Drosophila melanogaster: one gene and its partners. The protein of the gene in region 2 interacts with the protein of the main gene of each other region in a pairwise test. Each region holds a gene or a part of one and is shown on either strand. Other genes may lie near its edges. The genes, in order: Pif1A, CG16813 and REPTOR-BP.

Region 1 (4,929 bases), on a different chromosome or scaffold from region 2:
GCCCTACTCTTATCTACTTATTACAAATTATGCCTTGAAAAATTACACAGTATACAGAATTCCGAGTCTTTGCCCGCATGGAGGTTGTTTCTTCAGAATCGCAAAGATTCCCCTTTGTCTGTCAGCATTTCAATGGCTTCTGTTTAGCCGTAGACTCTTCAACGCTTTTCTTCACTGGGTTGAACTAATCAACAAGTTTCCCCCATTATTGATTTCAGCGGAAAAGCTTTTTCCTTCATTTCGCCACATCGGGTCGGGCCACACATATGAATGAAAAACGAAACATATAGGCACCCTGGGACTGGGAAATAGTTTACAACGCCAATTGCGTTGGGCTTACCAAATAAACTGGTCCGGAATGACTTTTCTTAATGACGTCATGTGGCGCGCCTTTTGGAATAGAACAGAATATGTACGTACATTCATATGTACATGTGTTTTTTTTGTTTTGTGAGGTTCCCCACTGGGGCGCTTTACACGCAATAAAACCGCTTTTCATTACTTTTTTTGTTCTACAGAAACAGAATTCTTTGCACTGCTCCCACATCCGCCCCAAAGATTATAACAAAGCATCTATATATATACTGTATGAGGTGCACACACGAGTAGGCCCACAGTTCATATGTTCATAGAATGCTCTCCGAGATTTCTGGCCGATCATCTTTATCAAGGCCACGATCTATATACACATGTAGAGCGACAGATTTGTGTACTTAGCAACCTTCTGGCGCCTAATTGGAATTTGATTTGTTTTTCCAGCTCGATACACTAGGTGTTAATAGGGAGGGATCTTAAGTGAGTGGTGCCCAAGTTTATTACTTTCTGGTTATCAACATAAATTATAAGTAATTATTAGTAAACTTTATGATATTGACTCTTGGACGTATTTCAAAACCGAACTGTTAGTGGAAAAACTACCCTAAAAGAGGTGTTCGTTCCAAATGTATGTAATATTTATTTTGTGGCTTTTCTATAAACTGAAGGACTGGGGCTAATGATGGCTCTCATGTTGCATTTCATTTAATTAAATTTAAAACCGCCCCCAGTCCACTCGATAATAAAGTGTTTTTGGGGTCGACATACACGCCATGGTGACATCACAGCCTCGGTGTGACCGGCTTGGTTGGGATTGGTTTTATACGAGCAAAGCCACCCACTCGATTGCCATCCACATCCACAGCCATCCACATGGGCAGATGAAAGTCTCTTTTTTGCTCTTTAAGTATGTATATTTTCAGTCATATATCAATTTGAAAATATTGCCAAACGATGAGTCGGTCAGCCGTCGAGTGTACAGTCTGCGGCTCTTTCGGCTGATTCACCGAAGATCACGTATACGCACCATTAGCTCTGAAATCCTTGGGCGTCGTAGACCAACAGTTGGTGTGCCTCAAACTTCTGTATATGTTTATTCACTCACTCACTCACTCACTAAGTCGACCGACGATGTTGTAATGTAAACAGTTTATTTACTGCCTGCTTGCCACTGTTTCTTGCAGTGTAATGACGTCAATACGTTAATTTTCAATCAACTTTTTTCGCGCACAGACCAAGTAGAATATCGTCGGTATGTGGAGCACTTCTTCGACAATTGTTAAGCAAAGTATGATATATTTTTGTTCAAATATATTCACACAGTTCGTACAGGAAGTTCGAAATTATATCAATTAAGTTACACAAGTTCGTCGGAATAGAAGTGAGTTATGTTCGGTTCGTTTGGGGAGTATCCTAATTAGTTGCAATCAATTTGAATTGTAAATTAAAAGAAGTGTTCTATACTAGGTAAATTTCGTTGCTCGGCGATAGCAGAGATCTTTCGTTTCGGCCGGACACCGATTGACTAACTCGGCCTCTCGAGCTTTCGCAAGCTCTTTCACATTTGCCTCCATTTCCATTTAATTAAAAGGAGCTTTGCCATTTATTCATGCACTTCTTGGGGTTATGGGGTGGCAAAGCTCGGGTCTGTGTGCGTGCCCCGAAGAATGGCCGACGTGAAGCCGGAAGAGCCCATCTATTGAAAGCCGAAGATGTTTTCCTCCCGGTTCCCGACTTCATAACAAAAAAAAACCAGTCGCGTGTTTATTAATAACCAAAATATGCACACAACCCGCCACGAAATTGGTCAAAATAACAAACAGTGAAATAAAAGATATCGGAACTTCAGGTTGATTGGATATTAATTCGGTATAAGTTTGATAAAGTAATGATAAAATTCAGTTAAATTGTTATATCTGTGTAAACATTGTTATAAGTACTTCCGCATGATTAAGGCGCGTTGCTCAAACATATATCAGCACAAAGCATTTGTGCTAGTTTAAGTTTAAGAGCAATCTGAAGACGTGACATTAAAGCTGTTGAAACGTGCATCTATTATTATATGTTTAGACCAGAAGTAAATAAATTTGGTAATAAACATACTTGCAAAACATTTAAGTTGCTCAACTTTTTTATAGTCTTTTTATGGCAATTAAAATTTCATACTTTTAATTTCGATTTAAATGCCAAACGTATTGCGTATGAATATCTTTATGTCTATAATCCCCAACAGCTGAAGAATCTTCACAAATCACATACAAATTTGACAATCGCCTTAACGACGCGATGAATGATGGACACAATTAGAACACATTCCGATTCCAGTCAGTCAACACAGGGGAAATCTAAATAAAAGCACAAAAGGGGAACAAACTTTGCACTTTGATTTGAGTGCCTTATCGTGTGGGAGCCCCACTTCACTTTTCTTTTTCTTACTCACTATTTGCATTTTTCATAGTCGGTTCAGCATCCTGATTTGTTTCATAATCACTCGGCAATTGTCTAGTATCCGGTTAGTATCCATTGGCATCCCTTGTGGTTCGATGTCGTCGTTAAGAGGAGTCTTGGGCAACTAAAATTCCAATTCCACATGACCGAATTAGATTTAGAATGCTTTCTTTCATTTAAACCTATTTGCGGTTGAATGTTCTGGCGTTTTGGCCTTTCAAATGACTCTTCTATTTTTCATTTAATTGCTGCTCGGTGCACAACTCACTCAAGTTGAGCGGTAGGAACAAACTGAAGATGCGGCGCACTTTCTAAAATGGAATAAGCGACATGCGTGCGTGCATCGCCAAATTTATATAAATAGAAGGAATCACAAATCTATATTTGAAGTTGGGAGCAATTTCAAAAAACCGCTCGCCGGTCAAGAGTGACGTCATGGAGCCATCGATAACTTTTTCGATAACAACTACCAGCTGCATATCATATTAGTTTAAAATGTTCATCAAAAAGTGTGGAAACTAGCTTTGTACCATAAAGTTAAAAAATCGCAAGATAGAAATAAATAGATAGTTTTTTATGAGTTAGGATTTCAAATTTCATTGTAAAGTGCGACTAAGTCCCCAAACGTTCACACTGGCTGCAAGCATCGATTAAATACAAAATAACAACGATTAATCGATTGGCCCATTACTCATCGCGGAAAACGTGAACGAAAAGCAAGTTGCCGCCTGTCTGCTAGGAACTTTATTGTTTTAAACTGTAATACGTGCTAAAGGCCAACCCCATCACATAAATATGGTAAGTCCGGCTGGAAATAATCCGAGGCTAACCAAGTGAATCCCAATCATGGACTCGTCCGCGAGCGGCATGAGATTGTAAACATAACCTGCAAAGAAGCTTCTCGCAAGCCGACGACATCTGCTGACTAATTGGAGACTTTTACTATATATTCGCCTTATATCCGTATGATCCGCAGCAACCGCAAATCGTGCTCCTCAAAGAAGGCACTGACTCGTCGCAGGGCAAGCCGCAACTGGTGTCCAACATCAATGCCTGCCAGTCGATCGTGGACGCAGTGCGGACCACTCTGGGTCCCCGCGGCATGGACAAGCTGATTGTGGATGCCCACGGCAAGGCGACGATTTCCAACGATGGAGCCACCATCATGAAGCTGCTGGAGATCATCCACCCGGCGGCCAAGACCCTGGTGGACATTGCCAAGTCACAAGACGCCGAGGTAAGTGATTGGCACCCCTGAGACGCACGTGACACTGCTAAAGCTTTGATTCGACTTCTCCTTCAGGTGGGTGACGGCACCACGTCCGTGGTTCTGCTGGCCGGCGAGTTCCTTAAGCAGGTGAAACCCTTCGTGGAGGAGGGAGTGCACCCACGAGTCATCATTAAGGCCATCCGCAAGGCCCTGCAGCTCTGCATGGAAAAGATCAACGAAATGGCCGTCCAAATTGTCGAACAGTCCAAGGACCAGCAGCGTGCTCTCCTTGAGAAGTGCGCAGCCACTGCCATGTCCTCCAAGTTGATTCACCAGCAGAAGGACTTCTTCTCCCGCATTGTAGTCGATGCTGTGCTCTCCCTGGATGAGCTGCTGCCCCTCAACATGATTGGAATTAAGAAGGTGACCGGTGGCTCGCTGGAGGAGTCACAGCTAGTGTCGGGTGTGGCCTTCAAGAAGACCTTTTCCTATGCCGGCTTTGAAATGGCCCCCAAATCCTATGACAACTGCAAAATTGCCCTGCTCAACATCGAATTGGAGCTTAAGGCTGAGCGCGATAACGCCGAGATCCGCGTAGACAACGTCAAGGAGTACCAAAAGGTGGTCGACGCCGAGTGGCAGATCCTCTACAACAAGCTGGCTAAGATCCACGAGTCCGGCGCCAATGTTGTCCTCTCCAAGCTGCCCATCGGTGATGTGGCCACACAGTATTTCGCCGACCGCGACATATTCTGCGCCGGCCGCGTTCCCGAAGAAGATCTTAAGCGCACCATGAAGGCTTGCGGTGGAGCCGTAATGACGACGGCCAACGACATTAAGCCCAATGTACTCGGCCTGTGCGAACATTTCGAGGAGCGCCAAGTGGGCGGCGAACGTTTCAACCTCTTCCAAGGTAAGAATCTTATTCGTATACTTAATTGAAGGACTCGTTTTAA
Region 2 (3,611 bases):
AAGTCCTTTGTAATTAATTTTTCATTTGCTGCAGCGCGCTGCTCGCACCTTCTATTGTGTCTGCCTAGTCCGTCCGGGTTTTCTTGGAAATTTCCCTGCCGACTTTCTCGAGAAGCGTTTTCTACCTCGAAATCTGGCCAGCGCCTGCGCTTGCCACTCTTTGATGCTGGGCCACGTTGTCTGGACGCTTCGGAATCTGGATTCTTATCTCGCTTACCGCTAATCTGCCTCATTAAGTTCTCGTCCAGGGTATCCGGGTATACCTTTATGTACCTTCGGCAAAATGCCAGCCGCTGCTTAGTCACAATGGTCATTGAATGGAAATTTATTGGGATTTTCCCGAATCGATGGGTGCGCGTCTGGCCTAGTCTGTTCACGGGATTTCTTGGATTCTTTTCTTTTTTGTATAATAGTAGAGTCATAATTTATGGAAAAGCAAGAAATTTTGTTTATAATATGTCACTCACTATATGATTATTATACATTAATTAAACATTATTTTTTGTTGGTTTGCGATCATGAAAGATTGGTAATGTAGAAATTAAAATATTGCTATATGAAATCAGACTATAAGGTTTTCATTTTATACTTTTTCAAAACTAAACCTTCAAAGTGAAAATCTTGTGATATAAACAATAGAATATTGCTATACTGCATTATACTATAAGGGTTATAACCGACTTTAAATATCATTAGTAAAGATAATGTTTTATGATATACAAGTACATAAATATGTAAACACACACACATATAGGTTTTTCTTAAAGCAGTTTATTTATTGTTTAAAATTTTTAATACATTTAAATGCAGTTCGAATTTTCATTATTGTAAATACGTTTACTACTGCTTTTACTATTTTACAACTATACGAATTTAAAAATATATACATATATCCTTAACTTTTCTATTCCCTTTTTAAGTGAATTCTTAAAAGTAATCTTTGGACTTAATTTAATATTCTAAACCATTCAAAGTGAATAATCCTTGGTATATTTATACAAGGTTATCCTGGACGCAAGTTGATACAATCGTTGCTATCATACAAAGTTATATATTCTCGATTCTGGATCATAATATTTTAAATAGACATTTTTACCTATTTATTTTCATCTACATAATTCCTTCTTGTTTCTCAGAAAAAAGCAAACTTTTCAAGGCTAAAATTTCCCATCGCTGAAAAGATCTACTCCTTAGAAAAATATATGGGAATCTATTTTCCCATCCACCATCCTGTTAATACAACATTATATAAGACAACCTTTAATTGTATCATTGGTGAAAGCACTTCCTGGTAGGATATTATTGCTCTTTTTAAGGTCATTCCCCTTGAAGGAATGAACAACACCTACCCTGGAGGACCCAATGCAATCGATTCTCTGCGTTCCAGAACAGATGAAAATTGATCAATATAATAAAAGGAAAACAATCAAACAATACGACAATCTTTCACTGTAATACTTCAACTGAACAAATAACCAACTCCCACTCCGCTCCTGCTTATTGACTTTGGGATTCCTCGAGGAGGGCTCGTCTCAAGCCCACCTGAAATAAATCCGCTTAGGCGGAGGAACACTGAAATGTGAGAACCATCTACCACATATACATTCGTTCCCTGACGGCATAAATCAATGGACAATGGACCATTGAATGAAACGGAAAAATCCGACATAATGCCAAAGACACGAAACCAGGGAGCAGAGGGAGGAGCATTCAGTAATTGCCGGTTTTCTAGGTTTGCTAGTATGTACATGTACCGGGAGATTCAGAAACTCCGAGACGGTTTTTCTTCAGCTGTCCAAGCTGAAAGTCATAAACGCTTGTTGTTCGAATCGAGATCGGGCATTGAAAACTGCAGCATGTCTGCTATTCAGGTGCCACAAAGAAAGCCGAAACAATAGCGGGTCGGCCGGCAGACAGCCTGGACGAATTGAGCGCCAGGATTAGAGATTACACAGGGATCCTCTACACAGAGATCCCTTTTTCGGGCCCGACAACAGGTAATTTCGTCGAAAATCGTCGGCCACGTAAACAGACGAGGCAAGGACAACAACTGGTTTATGACACCCTTTGAGAAGATTGCCAGCCTGCGGATTAGGAACTCCCTATTCCCAATTCAGGTAACAGCAGCCGATTAGTTTTGGTCCCATTTTTAGGGAATGAATGAAATGCGTTGGGGAAATACCTGATCCGTTTTACCGTGATCCCCAGGTACGTGATGGGAAAATCTTTGCCATTTGGCCATTCCGTTTTCGTGGGAGGCTCTGCAAGTTACCTAATGTTGCATAAAACGGATGGCCAGGAGGAGGGGCAGCACAGTCGTCTCGAAGACAGCAAAGCGAACACCACTACTCTTAATCAAGAATGGATAACTATAACCACAAGAAATTCACTGGAGCTCTGAAGCGAAAGCGCAGCATGGATGCGGACTCTGATGACGATGTGGTCTTCATTATGGAACAGCCGGGCCAACGCACTCCAGAGCAGCCGCAGCCTAAGCGTCGCTTCTTCCGACCCTGGATGGATGAGTCTCCGGAAGAGGAGCAACCACAGCCGCCACGTAAGATTGTGGCTACATCGACACCGCCGCCACAACAAGTGGATGGCACCTACCACGCTAACATGGTGCGCAATCACCACAAGCGCCGCCAGCGCAGTCCACAGGAGCAACTGCGTCGGGATCGCAACACCTTGGCCAGCCTGCGCCATCGACGCTCCCAGCAGCAACAGCAGCAGCTCATCGAACAACAATACCTGACCAGTCGCATTCAGCACGAGGCCAATCTGCAGCAGCAGATCCGCCTGAGTCTCTACTATGTGCGCTTCCTGCAGCAGGCGATGGCCTCCACGGAGCCACTGCCTCCCACACAGCCAAGGCACATGATGCCGCGCCAACAGACCACCACCCAGCATCCTTGAAGGGTGGACATGGTGCAACGACTGGGCGCTGCTCAATGCGCCCTAACTTATTGTAGAAAAGCTGAATAGTGATTGTGATTACTTTTAAAGTTTAATTTATTTATCTGGTTGACTAAACAATAAACACACTAATTGTTATCGAAATAACTTGTAATTTTTATAGAATTTTGTAATAATTGGTTTTTAGTTGGTTTCTGATTGATTGAAATCTAACTCGGGGTCTTATTTATTGAATCTTATTTGGAAGTCTGATATTTCTTTTCCGCCGTTTAACATCATGAGGATTTGTTCTAGACCAAAACTGACCGGAAGCATCAGCTCATAAGAGTTACCTCACTTGGTTTTTCTGCCATTATATAACATTAAATACATCTTATGTAATTAATTTCTTGGAAGCGCAATTTGCAATGCTAATTAAGGTGTGAAGTAATTCTAGTGATTCACATAGCCAGACTACAGTGAGAATTGAATCGATTCGGCACGAGTGACATATTGTGGGAAACACGGAATAAAATTGTAATTTATTTCAGTTGGATTTAATTATTTAATTTATAAACAAATCAGCATAGCGAACGAACAAAGTGCTTGCAAAATAATTAAAACACGGTGACAATAAGATCCGCCTTTATATTTAAATAATCATCAATGAAATCATCATATTGTTGTCCGCGATTAAAAATTGCGCAGATAAATAA
Region 3 (3,224 bases), 3.0 Mb from region 2:
TTGGCCTAAAGGTCTGAAAATTAGTTTAAAAATACATCAACTGCATATGATTTTGTTATTGACCAAACACACCTTGCCCTTTTGGAAGAATTCTAAAAATCCATTTAAAGCCATAATATCTTGTTGGAGATTCTGTTGGTTGTGAGAATATTTTGGCACATATGTAAGCGCTGCTTACAGCACAAAAGTTTGTCAATTGAATAACTATTAATGGCTGTTTATAAATAATGTTTACATTTATTCAGTTCCTTAGACTATTCTGTATTTTTATGCCGATGGAGAGATGGGAGAAACCATTGATAGGCTTTTCACGACTAAGTTATCGAACCCTTAGAATAATCGTTCCATATATCACTGTTCCAGTGTACCAATTGGTTTAACACCCTTAAATAACAAATATTTAATTAGTTCTTATTTATCATAAAAATACTTTAATTTGGCTTTAATCACTATACAAATGAAACAATAAAAAGCTGTAAAATGCAATATAGAAAATAACAAAAATTTCTGCAGTATTTTCGTAATAATATAAATAGTAACCGTCGTACATTTATTATAAAAGTAATATTCTTAAGCTAAAAATAAGAATGTAGGTTATTCTTGTTTGAGGATTCCGAGTTCCTGAAGTAACTGGTCATTGTTGGTTGGAGTGTTGCTTTCGCTCAACTGGTTATTCCATTGAATTAACTGCAATAAAGATGAGAATAAATAAATTGGTTGGACGTGGCATGATAAGTTATATACCGACGCGCTCCAGTTCCGTACGCAAAGCAACTACAGCCTTCTCCCGATCCGCCACCAGTTCCTCCAGGTACTGATACCGCAGCTTCTTGCGCGCCCGGCATTCCCTGGCACTTTGTCTGCTGCGTTCTGCAAGGGAAAATACACGTTATATAAAATTCCATAGGAAATAACATGTATTAGTGTTTGGAAACTTTGTTACTATTAAAAATAATACCGTTGTTTAAGTATTATAAGTGGAAATTAATGTTGTTCTTACCTAGTTTGGCTTTCATGTCCAATTTTTCAGTAGACGTCTTTCTTCCTGGTTTTCGTCCCCTTTTTCCACATTCCTTGCGCGTCTGCTTATAAATATAATATAAAATGTAAATATTTGACGATATCCCAAAAACAATTTGCTTTCAATATTCTTATTCGCAAAAATTTAGTTCCGATAAGTCAAACTTAAAATCTTTTTTGAAAATAGGCGCTTTTGCATGATAAAAATCACATATGTATATACACGCATACACAGAAGATAGCTTATATATGTGTATATACATACACGCAAGGCCTTACTGCGCATTAGAACAATTCAGATCATGTTCAAACAAAAAGACCACATCTTTTATATTTAATAATATATTACCACTTGTGTTTCCTCCGTTATTGACATTTTGTTGCTCTGTATCTCCATATCAGCCATTATAACTCTCAAATAATACAACAACTTTGCAACTCTTTGTTATTATGCGTCTTTCGTAAATACTCAAGGTAACAATAAACAAAACCACTACACACAAAGGTGCCAATCGAAATATATCTTAACAGAAACGATGGAATGGAACACATTAAGGGAACTATTTGTATTTTATATTTAAGAACAAAAATATAAATAAAGTTTAAATCGTAACAAATTTTCTTTTAATGACTTAAAATGATAATAGTCATTATATTTAAATAGTTAAATTATGATAATAGTTAAATTATAAATTAATTAAATAATAATTAATAAATGTTCAATATAATTATTCATTATTTGGGGTTTGAAGAAAATATAAAAGTACACGGCTATATATTAACAAACATTTTATATATTGTTTTACTTTATTTACTTTACTAAAGATCATACAAATATTTATAAAATTATATAAATTAAATTGACGTATTATTCAGATTACCATGATACATTTCCCAGCACAAAGTATAAAAATAATTAAAAATACAAGTCACTAGAGCAGCGGGAAGTCCCTTTTTACGGGGCCGTTAAACTATAAATACATCCCAACACACGTCCATTCTCAGTGTTCCAAATGCGAGGATATTTTTGAAAATTAGCATTTTTGCAACGAGTTTAACCACCCTGGTCGAAAAGTTGATATAGATACAAACGCTAAATTGTCCGGTGGTGATAACTTATTGATTATTTATTTTTCAAGGCAGCTATCCGATTTGCAGGATAACTCCGAAAACGAATCAGAAACAGTGAATCCAGATGTCCAGCATGGGTGATCAGCGCGGGACACGGGTGTATGTCGGCAATCTGACCGACAAAGTGAAAAAGGATGATCTGGAGGGGGAGTTCACAAAGTATGGCAAGCTGAATTCGGTGTGGATAGCCTTCAATCCGCCGGGATTTGCGTTCGTCGAGTTCGAGCACCGCGACGACGCCGAAAAGGCGTGCGACATACTGAACGGATCCGAGCTGCTCGGCTCCCAGCTGCGCGTGGAGATCTCAAAAGGGCGGCCACGCCAGGGTAGGCGTGGCGGACCCATGGACAGGGGCGGACGACGCGGCGACTTTGGCCGGCACAGCATCACAAGCGGTGGTAGCGGCGGAGGCGGTTTCCGGCAGCGCGGATCCAGCGGATCCTCAAGCCGGCACACGGAGCGGGGCTATAGCTCCGGCCGATCAGGTGCAAGCAGCTATAATGGCAGAGAGGGCGGCGGCAGCGGCTTCAATCGCCGCGAGGTTTACGGCGGTGGACGCGACAGCAGCCGCTACAGCAGCGGAAGTAGCGCCAGCTACGGACGCACTGGTGGTCAGTCGGCCGGACGCTTCAGGTCCCGCTCGCCGGTGGGAAACCATCGATTCTAATGACAACACCACTCATAGTTGCTTAAGGATTGCCTATGAGTAAAGATTAATAAATAATAACTTAAGCGCGACCGTAAAACGCAGACTCAAACATTTAAAATCGTAGCATTCGATCGTTTTCGATCGTCCAACAGATTCCCTCATTCCCCCACATCAACAACAACAACAGAATGATAAAAAAAAAAGAAAAAACAAAAAACTGATAGTCGTCGTCTCTTCATTATTTATTTAACGAATACCCATTAACATGACAATTGCAAGCACGTAAAATTTAAGTTATAACGTAGAAAACTAGTAAGAAAAATACGCTAAGACTCGAACAACGTCAAACCAAAATCTAGAAGTACGCAATTTTAATAAAGGAAATGCGGAACAGTTTCTCGTATACATAAAAGCTTTCGCAAAA

What was found.
Region 1: the proteins of CG16813 (region 2) and Pif1A come close enough for resonance energy transfer, tested with the Drosophila melanogaster proteins (one study listed by BioGRID).
Region 3: the proteins of CG16813 (region 2) and REPTOR-BP interact in a two-hybrid assay, tested with the Drosophila melanogaster proteins (2 studies listed by BioGRID, with this or other methods).

The regions. Positions count from the first base shown.
Region 1 is NT_033777.3:8,798,120-8,803,048, forward strand, and holds the start of Pif1A (PFTAIRE-interacting factor 1A), read right to left. Parts: upstream 3,058-4,929; 5' UTR 2,756-3,057; intron 2,661-2,755; 5' UTR 2,575-2,660; intron 1,826-2,574; exon of another isoform or gene 1,343-1,825; intron 1-1,342. Other genes in the region: CCT7 (chaperonin containing TCP1 subunit 7), read left to right, coding at 3,559-3,561, 3,740-4,000, 4,067-4,886.
Region 2 is NT_033779.5:13,225,492-13,229,102, forward strand, and holds CG16813 (uncharacterized protein), read left to right. Parts: upstream 1-2,037; 5' UTR 2,038-2,117; intron 2,118-2,208; 5' UTR 2,209-2,361; coding exon 2,362-2,916; 3' UTR 2,917-3,030; downstream 3,031-3,611.
Region 3 is NT_033779.5:10,262,410-10,265,633, reverse strand, and holds REPTOR-BP (REPTOR-binding partner), read right to left. Parts: upstream 1,510-3,224; 5' UTR 1,427-1,509; coding exon 1,370-1,426; intron 1,086-1,369; coding exon 1,001-1,085; intron 871-1,000; coding exon 749-870; coding exon of another isoform or gene 745-748; intron 688-744; coding exon 595-687; 3' UTR 523-594; downstream 1-522. Other genes in the region: Mob3 (MOB kinase activator 3), read right to left, coding at 1-13, 73-114; Rsf1 (repressor splicing factor 1), read left to right, coding at 2,216-2,818. UniProt on the Drosophila melanogaster protein: Transcriptional regulator that acts in the TORC1 signaling pathway to regulate energy homeostasis and promote survival during nutrient deprivation.